2 linked regions of the Daphnia pulex genome follow. The protein of the gene in region 1 interacts with the protein of each later gene in a pairwise test. Links are inferred from orthologs where the notes say so. Each region holds a gene or a part of one and is shown on either strand. Other genes may lie near its edges. The genes, in order: casein kinase II subunit beta and RING-box protein 2-like.

Region 1 (4,151 bases):
ATCTATTCTATCAATGGAAGACGCTTCTGCAGATGATGGCTTATTCATGTGTCCAGCCAAAACATTTTTCATTTTATCAATCTACAAGTAATGTCAAATACATTTAAATTATAGTGAATCACATATTGCTTACACTTAACAATTATTTAATACCTCTCCAAGAAATTTCTGAGCAACTTCTTTGGAATCAAACAGAATTGCCCAGTTTTGCATGTGGTCATCATAAAATGTACAGAAGTTGTTTGGTTGACTCTGCAACAAAACAGTGGAGAAACATTATTTAAGTTTAAATAGTAGTGTAAATAATCCCCCCCATCCACAAAAAAAATTGTACTTACAATTATGGTAAATTCTGAGGTGACCCTTACACTTGCTAGTGGTTTCTGCTTATTTTGGTAAAGGATTATCTGATAAGTTTTATTACTTTCATTTTCTTCCAATAAGGCTAATCCTATTTTTCCAGGAAGTGGTTCATATTTTTCATTATTTCTGGAAATGATAAACAGGAGAATAAAATAAATTAATTCTTTGATTTGGCTTTCCTCCTTACAGTTTATAACATGTGACAGCAGCTGCAGCAATAACTGCTTGGGACATGCCCTTTGTGGTTGGAAGTGTACTACTTGGAGGTTGTTTAGGTGCCGTATAGATTAATGACTTTGAATTGGATTGGTGGATCCCCGAATCGTGAAATATTGATGCTAAATTAGAACTAAAATAGCGATTTAGTGTTATAATTTTTTATATCATGAACATCTATTCCTAATAGAAATGACTTAAGAATGATATTACTTAATTGAAATTGAGCCAAAGTCATCATCTTCTTCATTTGAAAAACCGAATGACATTTTCACAACATTGAGTAGAGTTGATAACGCTTCACGGCGGATATATATATTCTATTATCGTTTACTGAATGAAAATCAATAGATGGCGTTGAAAAGATTACAGACAAGATTACGATGGAATTTCCGAATAAATAAACAAAAAAAGCCATCTAGCGGCTAATATTTACTGGAAATAAATAAGAAGAGACATTGAAAAGCAACGTACTACCTACTAGGCCTACTTCATTTCTTTATATTTTCTATATTATATTTTCTTCCTTCAAATTGTGTGATTCTAAGGAATGGGTTCTCTTTAATCATGTTTTTTATAAGAAAACTTCGCGCTTTCACCACATAATCATGAATTCATAAGGAATTACTTGTACTGCACACACACTTCTTCTTGTTACTAATAGATGTCACCTTACAGAAAAAAGCCTGTGTAGAAATAAGGCCCTAGGAGAAAACGAGATCGACTTCGCACACATATTTGTTAGGGTGGCGAACAGAGGCTTGAAGAGGTAAGATTTATTGAATTTCAACTGTTATGTTTACGATTAATTGTATTCAATTTTGACTTGGAAAATATTCAACGAAACAGGAGGGGTCATAGTGTACACGGGTATGGTAATTTCGTCGATTCAGCAATTTTTTTAGTGAGAGTCTACATAAGAATGAGAATGGTGACTTGGGGAGAGTTTACATTACGTGTTCTGAAGGGAGAGGTGTGCACAGTTTGCACACGCTGAAGGCTAGACAGGGAGAGAGGGCGCGCATTGCAATCAGTAAACTGATGAGTAGAAATCATTGATTTTTGGATTTGTGAACTACATCAACGGCTTTGTTAAACGAATTACATCACGTTTTGACACAAATTTTCTCACCCATAGAAAAATGAGCAGCTCCGAAGAAGTTTCGTGGATCTCCTGGTTTTGTGGCCTACGTGGAAATGAATTCTTCTGTGAGGTAAGATAAAATTAAAATTAAATTTGATGTGATAGGTCAAAACATATTAGAGCACTTAATATTTCAATCAGTTGATCAGAAAGTGGTAGAATTTGACTGATGAAAATCACAGAATTTTCTTTGGATTTTGCTATAACAAGTGCATTTGATTCATTAAGACTTGGAAAGGAATAATTGTAATTTCAAATTTAAACAATTAATCTAAGCATATTTTGTAATTGCTCAACAGGTTGATGAAGATTATATCCAAGACAAGTTTAATTTAACTGGACTGAATGAACAAGTACCACACTATCGGCAGGCACTTGATATGATTTTGGACCTAGAGCCAGGTATAAATAACCAATTGAATTCTTTCATTCATATTCTTAGTGTAAATCATTTATCCAGTATTTTTCATTTAAGATGATGATGTTGAAGACAACCCCAATCAGTCTGATTTGATAGAACAAGCTGCTGAAATGCTTTATGGGTTGATTCATGCTAGATACATTTTAACAAATCGTGGAATTCTACAAATGCTTGAAAAGTATCATGCTGGAGATTTTGGTCATTGCCCAAGAGTATACTGTGAGAATCAACTGATGTTGCCAATTGGTAATATAAAAAAATATGATTTTATTTGTTATTACTATATATTTTACTATTTATTATATTTTTAACTTTCACTAGAAATTTATCTTTTATCTTGAAATATTTTTGGGTTCTCCTTCTCAGGCCTATCAGATGTTCCAGGGGAAGCTATGGTGAAGCTTTATTGTCCAAAATGTATGGACGTCTATACCCCTAAATCCTCCCGTCATCACCACACTGATGGAGCGTACTTTGGGACAGGATTCCCCCACATGCTCTTCATGGTTCACCCTGAATATAGACCGAAAAAACCAACCAATCAATTTGTCCCACGACTTTATGGCTTTAAAATTCATCCGTTGGCCTATCAGATCCAACAACAGGGCGCTTCTAATTTTAAAGTTCCGATGCGTACTGTAAGCTACAACAACGGGAGAAAATGAAACTGAATCTGCTTATTCGCCACTTATTCATTCAATGTTACCATTTAGCATAGGCGACGTTCAGAAATTATGTACTGCGATTTTTGGCTTATTTTTTTTACCCCCTCCTCCCCCTCTTGTCAGATTGTCACAAAAGCCCCAACTCTAACAAAAACGTAACGTTTGCCGACCCCCATCCCCTATTTTCTGGAACTTAATAAAAAACTGAATGAAAATTGAATTAAAGTTGGTGCCTACATTTGGTTCCATTAGTTAAGCGCTTAATTGATTGGTGTTTCTCGTATCAGCCTATTCCTTCATTTGTGCTGTTCGTTTTTATGGTGAAAAGGTCGCAACACAAGCTGAAGAGATATTATGTCATGGTGCGTCAAGAGTGTCTCAACCCGGAATCCCATTCGTTTCTCGAAACCCATCTATTTCTTTATGTTCCGTACTACGAATCTACTGCATAACTTTTGAACGTCGCCATAGCAACTCAATACCCTTTTGATTGGTTACATGATTAACCCGAGCTGTACAACAAATTTGATGGAAACAAAAGATAATGAATTTTTTTCTTGATATGTTATGTACTTTATTTGTCAGATATTTAGTTATCTTAACACTTATGCTTCAAATCTACGTCAGGAAAAAGACGTAGGATGTTATTATAACCGTACAATGTTATAGAAAAAAAAGGCCCAAAAACCTAATAAGCTTGTTAGCTCCAGTGTATAGGAAATTCACTACGCGGTGTTAAGTTACTTGGAATTCTATTAAGTTTATTTTACTTTTTTGTTTGATGAGATTTGTCAGATGAATAGACCTTTTTCACAATGCGGAAAGTCGGGATTTTACAATCCGGCAACGCCGCAATCGGCCATCTTTGTTCTAATTAATTTTTCCCCGTGTAAATTCCCATAAGGAATCGGGGTCCCTTTACTTTTAATTCATTTTCTACTTATTGGTGTCTTAAATCAAATATATTTCTCGTGGATCTTGTTCCCCGAATAACTGGTAACATTTTCATGTATGGTAAGTATTACTTGTGGCTTATATTAATTATGTAATTTGAACTTTCATTAGGTTGTTTTGATTCTGGAATGTCAAAACCAAAACAGACATGTTGTGTGTTTGCCGTTTGGCTGCGGTAACAGATACAATGTTTATGAATCTGTTACTGTAAGTTTTGCATCCCAAAAGTTTTATTGGACATCCACAATATGTGTTAACAATTCCCTCAAAAGTATTTGGGGTTAACTAGTTTAAAATTTACTAATTCAACTGCTTTAACATTTAGTTTCCTAATCTGACGAAGCATTCACTATGATTTGGCTACCTGATTCATTATCGTTATTTATTT
Region 2 (3,741 bases), on another chromosome or scaffold:
ATTGTTGAGTCGAGCTTGAGCCAACGTTTCAGCCAGCTGTTGGTAAACTACGGAAGTTTGATCGACAGTGGCTTCGCAGCTGGAACAGGAATAGGATCCAGTGGAATTGTCATCTTTAATCCACCGGTAACTTGAGGGTGAATCGGTGCCCGTGGAACTCAAGTCGCACCCACTGTCTCTGTTTCTAGTTTCACGCTTTTCGGCGGCCAGCATGATGGCGTGAATTTTACTGCTGTCTGATTCCATTTGGCAGTTTTGTCTATCTTCGGCAACAGCTTCGATATCGCACCAAATTGAAGGTTGCTGACCTAGTACCGTAGACATCTTTGGGGAGTTTTCTTTCACCTCCTAATCCACGTACGCTCTTGGACTCTCTGCAAGGTCGAAAAGTAAAGAAATAGGGTCAGCGATTAGAAACTGGGTTTCTCCAAAATCGCAAGAGAATCGGGTTTTTCCAGTTAAAACACATTTAATAATATGAGATTAATTAAAAAGTCATTTTAAACAATCACGCCTCCTTTTAAACGAATTAGTAACTAATTGTTAAAGCGCTTGGAATTTCAATCTTGCAACTTGTTAGACAATAGAATGGATTCGAGATTTAAAAATCTTAACACAGATGGTTTGGTTGTTTTAAGACAATCGAACGTCTTCACAAACATTTTACATAAATCGGAGTGTTATTTGACTTGGATTCCGCCGCTCGAGTAAACACAAAGTTACAAATAACAAAAAAAAAAAACAGAGTTTCAAAACACTAACTAAAATTAAACTTACAAATGCCTGGAGAAATAGAGGACGCCTTGAAGAGCTGTGTTGACGCAGGATTCGAGTGGATGTGTGTGATGAGCTAGTGGGGTCCGCATGTCTTTTTATACTTCTCAGCACGGCCTACCCTGCGCCGCTCGGTTTCTTCAAGTTTGTTTCATCCCTCCTTCTTTTTCATCTTCTATCGCGAGAAGTACGCTCAGCCTAACCACACGTCACATCGCCAACCCCCAAAATGTTTTTGACGAATCCTCTTTTTTCCGGTTTTTATTCCTACTGGGATCTTCGGCCTTTTTTTTTTAATCGATTTATTTTGGTTTTAAAATTAAATTAGGATTACGTCATAGTTTTCCACAGAAGGATCGCTATCCCCCAGACCCCCACTACTCCTGATTTCTATTCTGGTCGAAATCGCAATTTAAAATCAGACTCAAAAATAATTTTTCACACTCCATGAGTAGGTCAATATTGACTTTAACATAGTGAAAGTGAATTTTTAAGTTTAAGTGATGGTCTTTTGAGAGGGAGAAATTGAAAGGTTAATAACGTTCTCGGCCTAGTTTGAACCGGTCGAAAGCAGTTTGAGCAGGATTTTCTCCCCTTAATATATCAGGGGGTGGATAGGTTCTTATACAGGTAAGAAAGTTAAAAACCATAAATAGGTCTTTTGGGAGATTGTGGGCTTTCCAGCGTCGAAGTATATCGGAACCCCCTGTAGGCCTAAATGAGCCAACAAGATTTCATTAGTAACAAAATAAAAAAACCCACTCTGAATTTGCCAATAACTTCAACGTTATAAAAAGAGAAAACTGGCTCCACCTGCCGTAAATAATCGATAACACGACGTTGAACTTGACAAACTGACTTTCAATTGCTTTTGAGTATACTCTGTCTGGCTCTTGGGTTGATACCCTCCACATCTTTAGATAAGATTTTACATAGGGTGGTGTTTATCCCTTGGTATATTTCTTGTTGCCCCTTTTCCCCTTTTTGGCTTTCTTAAATATACAGGTCATAGGCATAAAAACATGGAGGGATGTTTATCGTCTTTCCACGGAGATGTGCTCCGTACCAGTTCTTTGCCTGGTACGGTGAAGGACGTGGTGGATTTCTCCCTTTTTAGTTGGAAATACGGTATCCCTCCCCCCAGAGTACCAGCCAAGATGACGCCCAAATAACCCAAGATCAAACCCCCTATTCCATAACCCGATTAACCTAAAGAAGAACAGGAATGAAGAGGAAGACAAAAATTCTTTTTTTCTTGGTTTTCTACATCTTTTTGGAACAATCGCCTTCGAGCGAGTTGTCGTTGTAACCTAACGGTATAAGAGAATATTTTTCGAGCTTCATATGAAAGACATAGTGGTGATGAAATGATATTGAGTAGTAACCATACAAAGCAGCGTGAACTTTGGTTCAAAGTCCAATGTTTAAGTGTTTTCCGGATCGAGTAACGCTAGAAGATGATGATAAATTAACAGAAAAATCGAGTAAAATGTTACAAGTTTAAATTTTAAAAGAGAAAGTCAACATTGAATTTCTTTTTTCCCTATTATGGAATTGTTTGGATAACAGGAAATTGAAGTCTAAAATGTTGTCCTAGTCCTTCGTTGGAAAAAGGATAGTCGAAGGTCGAAAGAGTGCAGTGAACGAGCCGCTCACGACCTCTCCCAACAAAGTGACGACATCGATAGCTCCGATAACCTTTTCTATTTTAAATTCTCAAAGCTGTTAGTTTTTTAAAAACTTTTCCAACCCCATTTACAACAAAGCGAGGAAAAGATAAAAATAATTTCTTTAATTTGTACTCAATTCAGATGCATGCCTACGTTGCCAGGCCGAAAATAGAAACGACAAGGAACAGGAGGAGTGTGTAGTCATCTGGGGCGAATGCAACCATTCATTTCACAACTGCTGCATGAAATTATGGGTAACATAATTGTTTATAATGTATTGTGCAAAATGAGTTAAACGTGATTTCTCGCCCTTTAATTCAGGTCAAGCAAAATAACCGCTGTCCTCTCTGTCAACAAGAGTGGTCCGTCCAACGAATTGGCAAATGAAGATCTTGATATTCGTGATTATAAAGTCACAAACACAATTCCAATCTTTTTTTTCATAATTGCTACTCATTAATACACGCAGTGTCGTCAATTTGTCTTTTTTTCACACGTGTATTTTTCCTTTTTTTTTTTAATGAAAGATTTTTCGGACTACTTGGGATGTTATTTTGTGTTATTTTCATTGATTGATCATCATGGGTTGTTAAAACAATCTATTCTGTTATTTTAATGCTTATTTTTAGGCTTCTGCGCTGTTAACGATTGAGGAACCAAGTCATCAATGCAGCTAAAGCTAGAGTCAAATGAGACAGAACTGCGCCTGCCACAGCGCTGTTGCAACGCATGCCGGAGTGGCTGAACGTGAATTTGACTTGATCCGGCGTATGGCAGTCTTTATCTGAATAAAAGGTAAAACAAATAACGTAATCATAGAAATCCTAAAGCATTTTTAAGTTAAAAATTTTAATTTGTACCTGCGCAGGGCAAATCGTCGTTAATGTTGGTGGGAGCAGCCGAAATGTAGATGTTTGAACACTGATCCGGTACCATTTTACCACACGGCTGCATGAATTTAAACTCGACGGTTTCACCGGCTTTCAATGCGGTCTTGCAGAGATCTCCGTTTCCTGGACGTTCCTTAGTGGTCGAAACGCAGAACCTTGCCATGCCGTACGTGCTCTTGAACTGTTAAATAGGGGCGGAACGCGTTACAAGTCAACACATTTAAGTACGTACTTGTTATCTCATTTGAAACTAAACAAGGAAAGGTAACTGACCCACAAGCGCAGTTCGTTGCTGCTGTAAAAACTTTCTGGGCCCAGACGGAAGTATTGGGTGGTGTAAGTGTTGAGGAGTCCTGTGTACATATATTTGGCCTCAGTGGAGTTGGAGCTAGAACTAATGTCTTTGC

What was found.
Region 2: the proteins of casein kinase II subunit beta (region 1) and RING-box protein 2-like interact in a two-hybrid assay, tested with the Homo sapiens proteins (2 studies listed by BioGRID). The link is inferred for Daphnia pulex from reciprocal best matches to the Homo sapiens genes CSNK2B and RNF7.

The regions. Positions count from the first base shown.
Region 1 is NC_060025.1:6,072,742-6,076,892, reverse strand, and holds casein kinase II subunit beta, read left to right. Parts: upstream 1-1,208; 5' UTR 1,209-1,348; intron 1,349-1,379; exon of another isoform or gene 1,380-1,449; intron 1,450-1,717; 5' UTR 1,718-1,721; coding exon 1,722-1,793; intron 1,794-2,022; coding exon 2,023-2,125; intron 2,126-2,198; coding exon 2,199-2,390; intron 2,391-2,510; coding exon 2,511-2,809; 3' UTR 2,810-3,370; downstream 3,371-4,151. Other genes in the region: FK506-binding protein 15-like, read right to left, coding at 1-81, 154-252, 339-489, 551-712, 793-848. UniProt on the Homo sapiens protein: Regulatory subunit of casein kinase II/CK2.
Region 2 is NC_060024.1:9,935,037-9,938,777, reverse strand, and holds the end of RING-box protein 2-like, read left to right. Parts: coding exon of another isoform or gene 1-324; exon of another isoform or gene 325-374; intron 375-777; exon of another isoform or gene 778-934; intron 935-2,585; coding exon 2,586-2,698; intron 2,699-2,765; coding exon 2,766-2,831; 3' UTR 2,832-2,922; downstream 2,923-3,741. Other genes in the region: facilitated trehalose transporter Tret1-2 homolog, read right to left, coding at 1-324; uncharacterized protein LOC124200065, read right to left, coding at 3,086-3,228, 3,305-3,515, 3,608-3,741. UniProt on the Homo sapiens protein: Catalytic component of multiple cullin-5-RING E3 ubiquitin-protein ligase complexes (ECS complexes), which mediate the ubiquitination and subsequent proteasomal degradation of target proteins.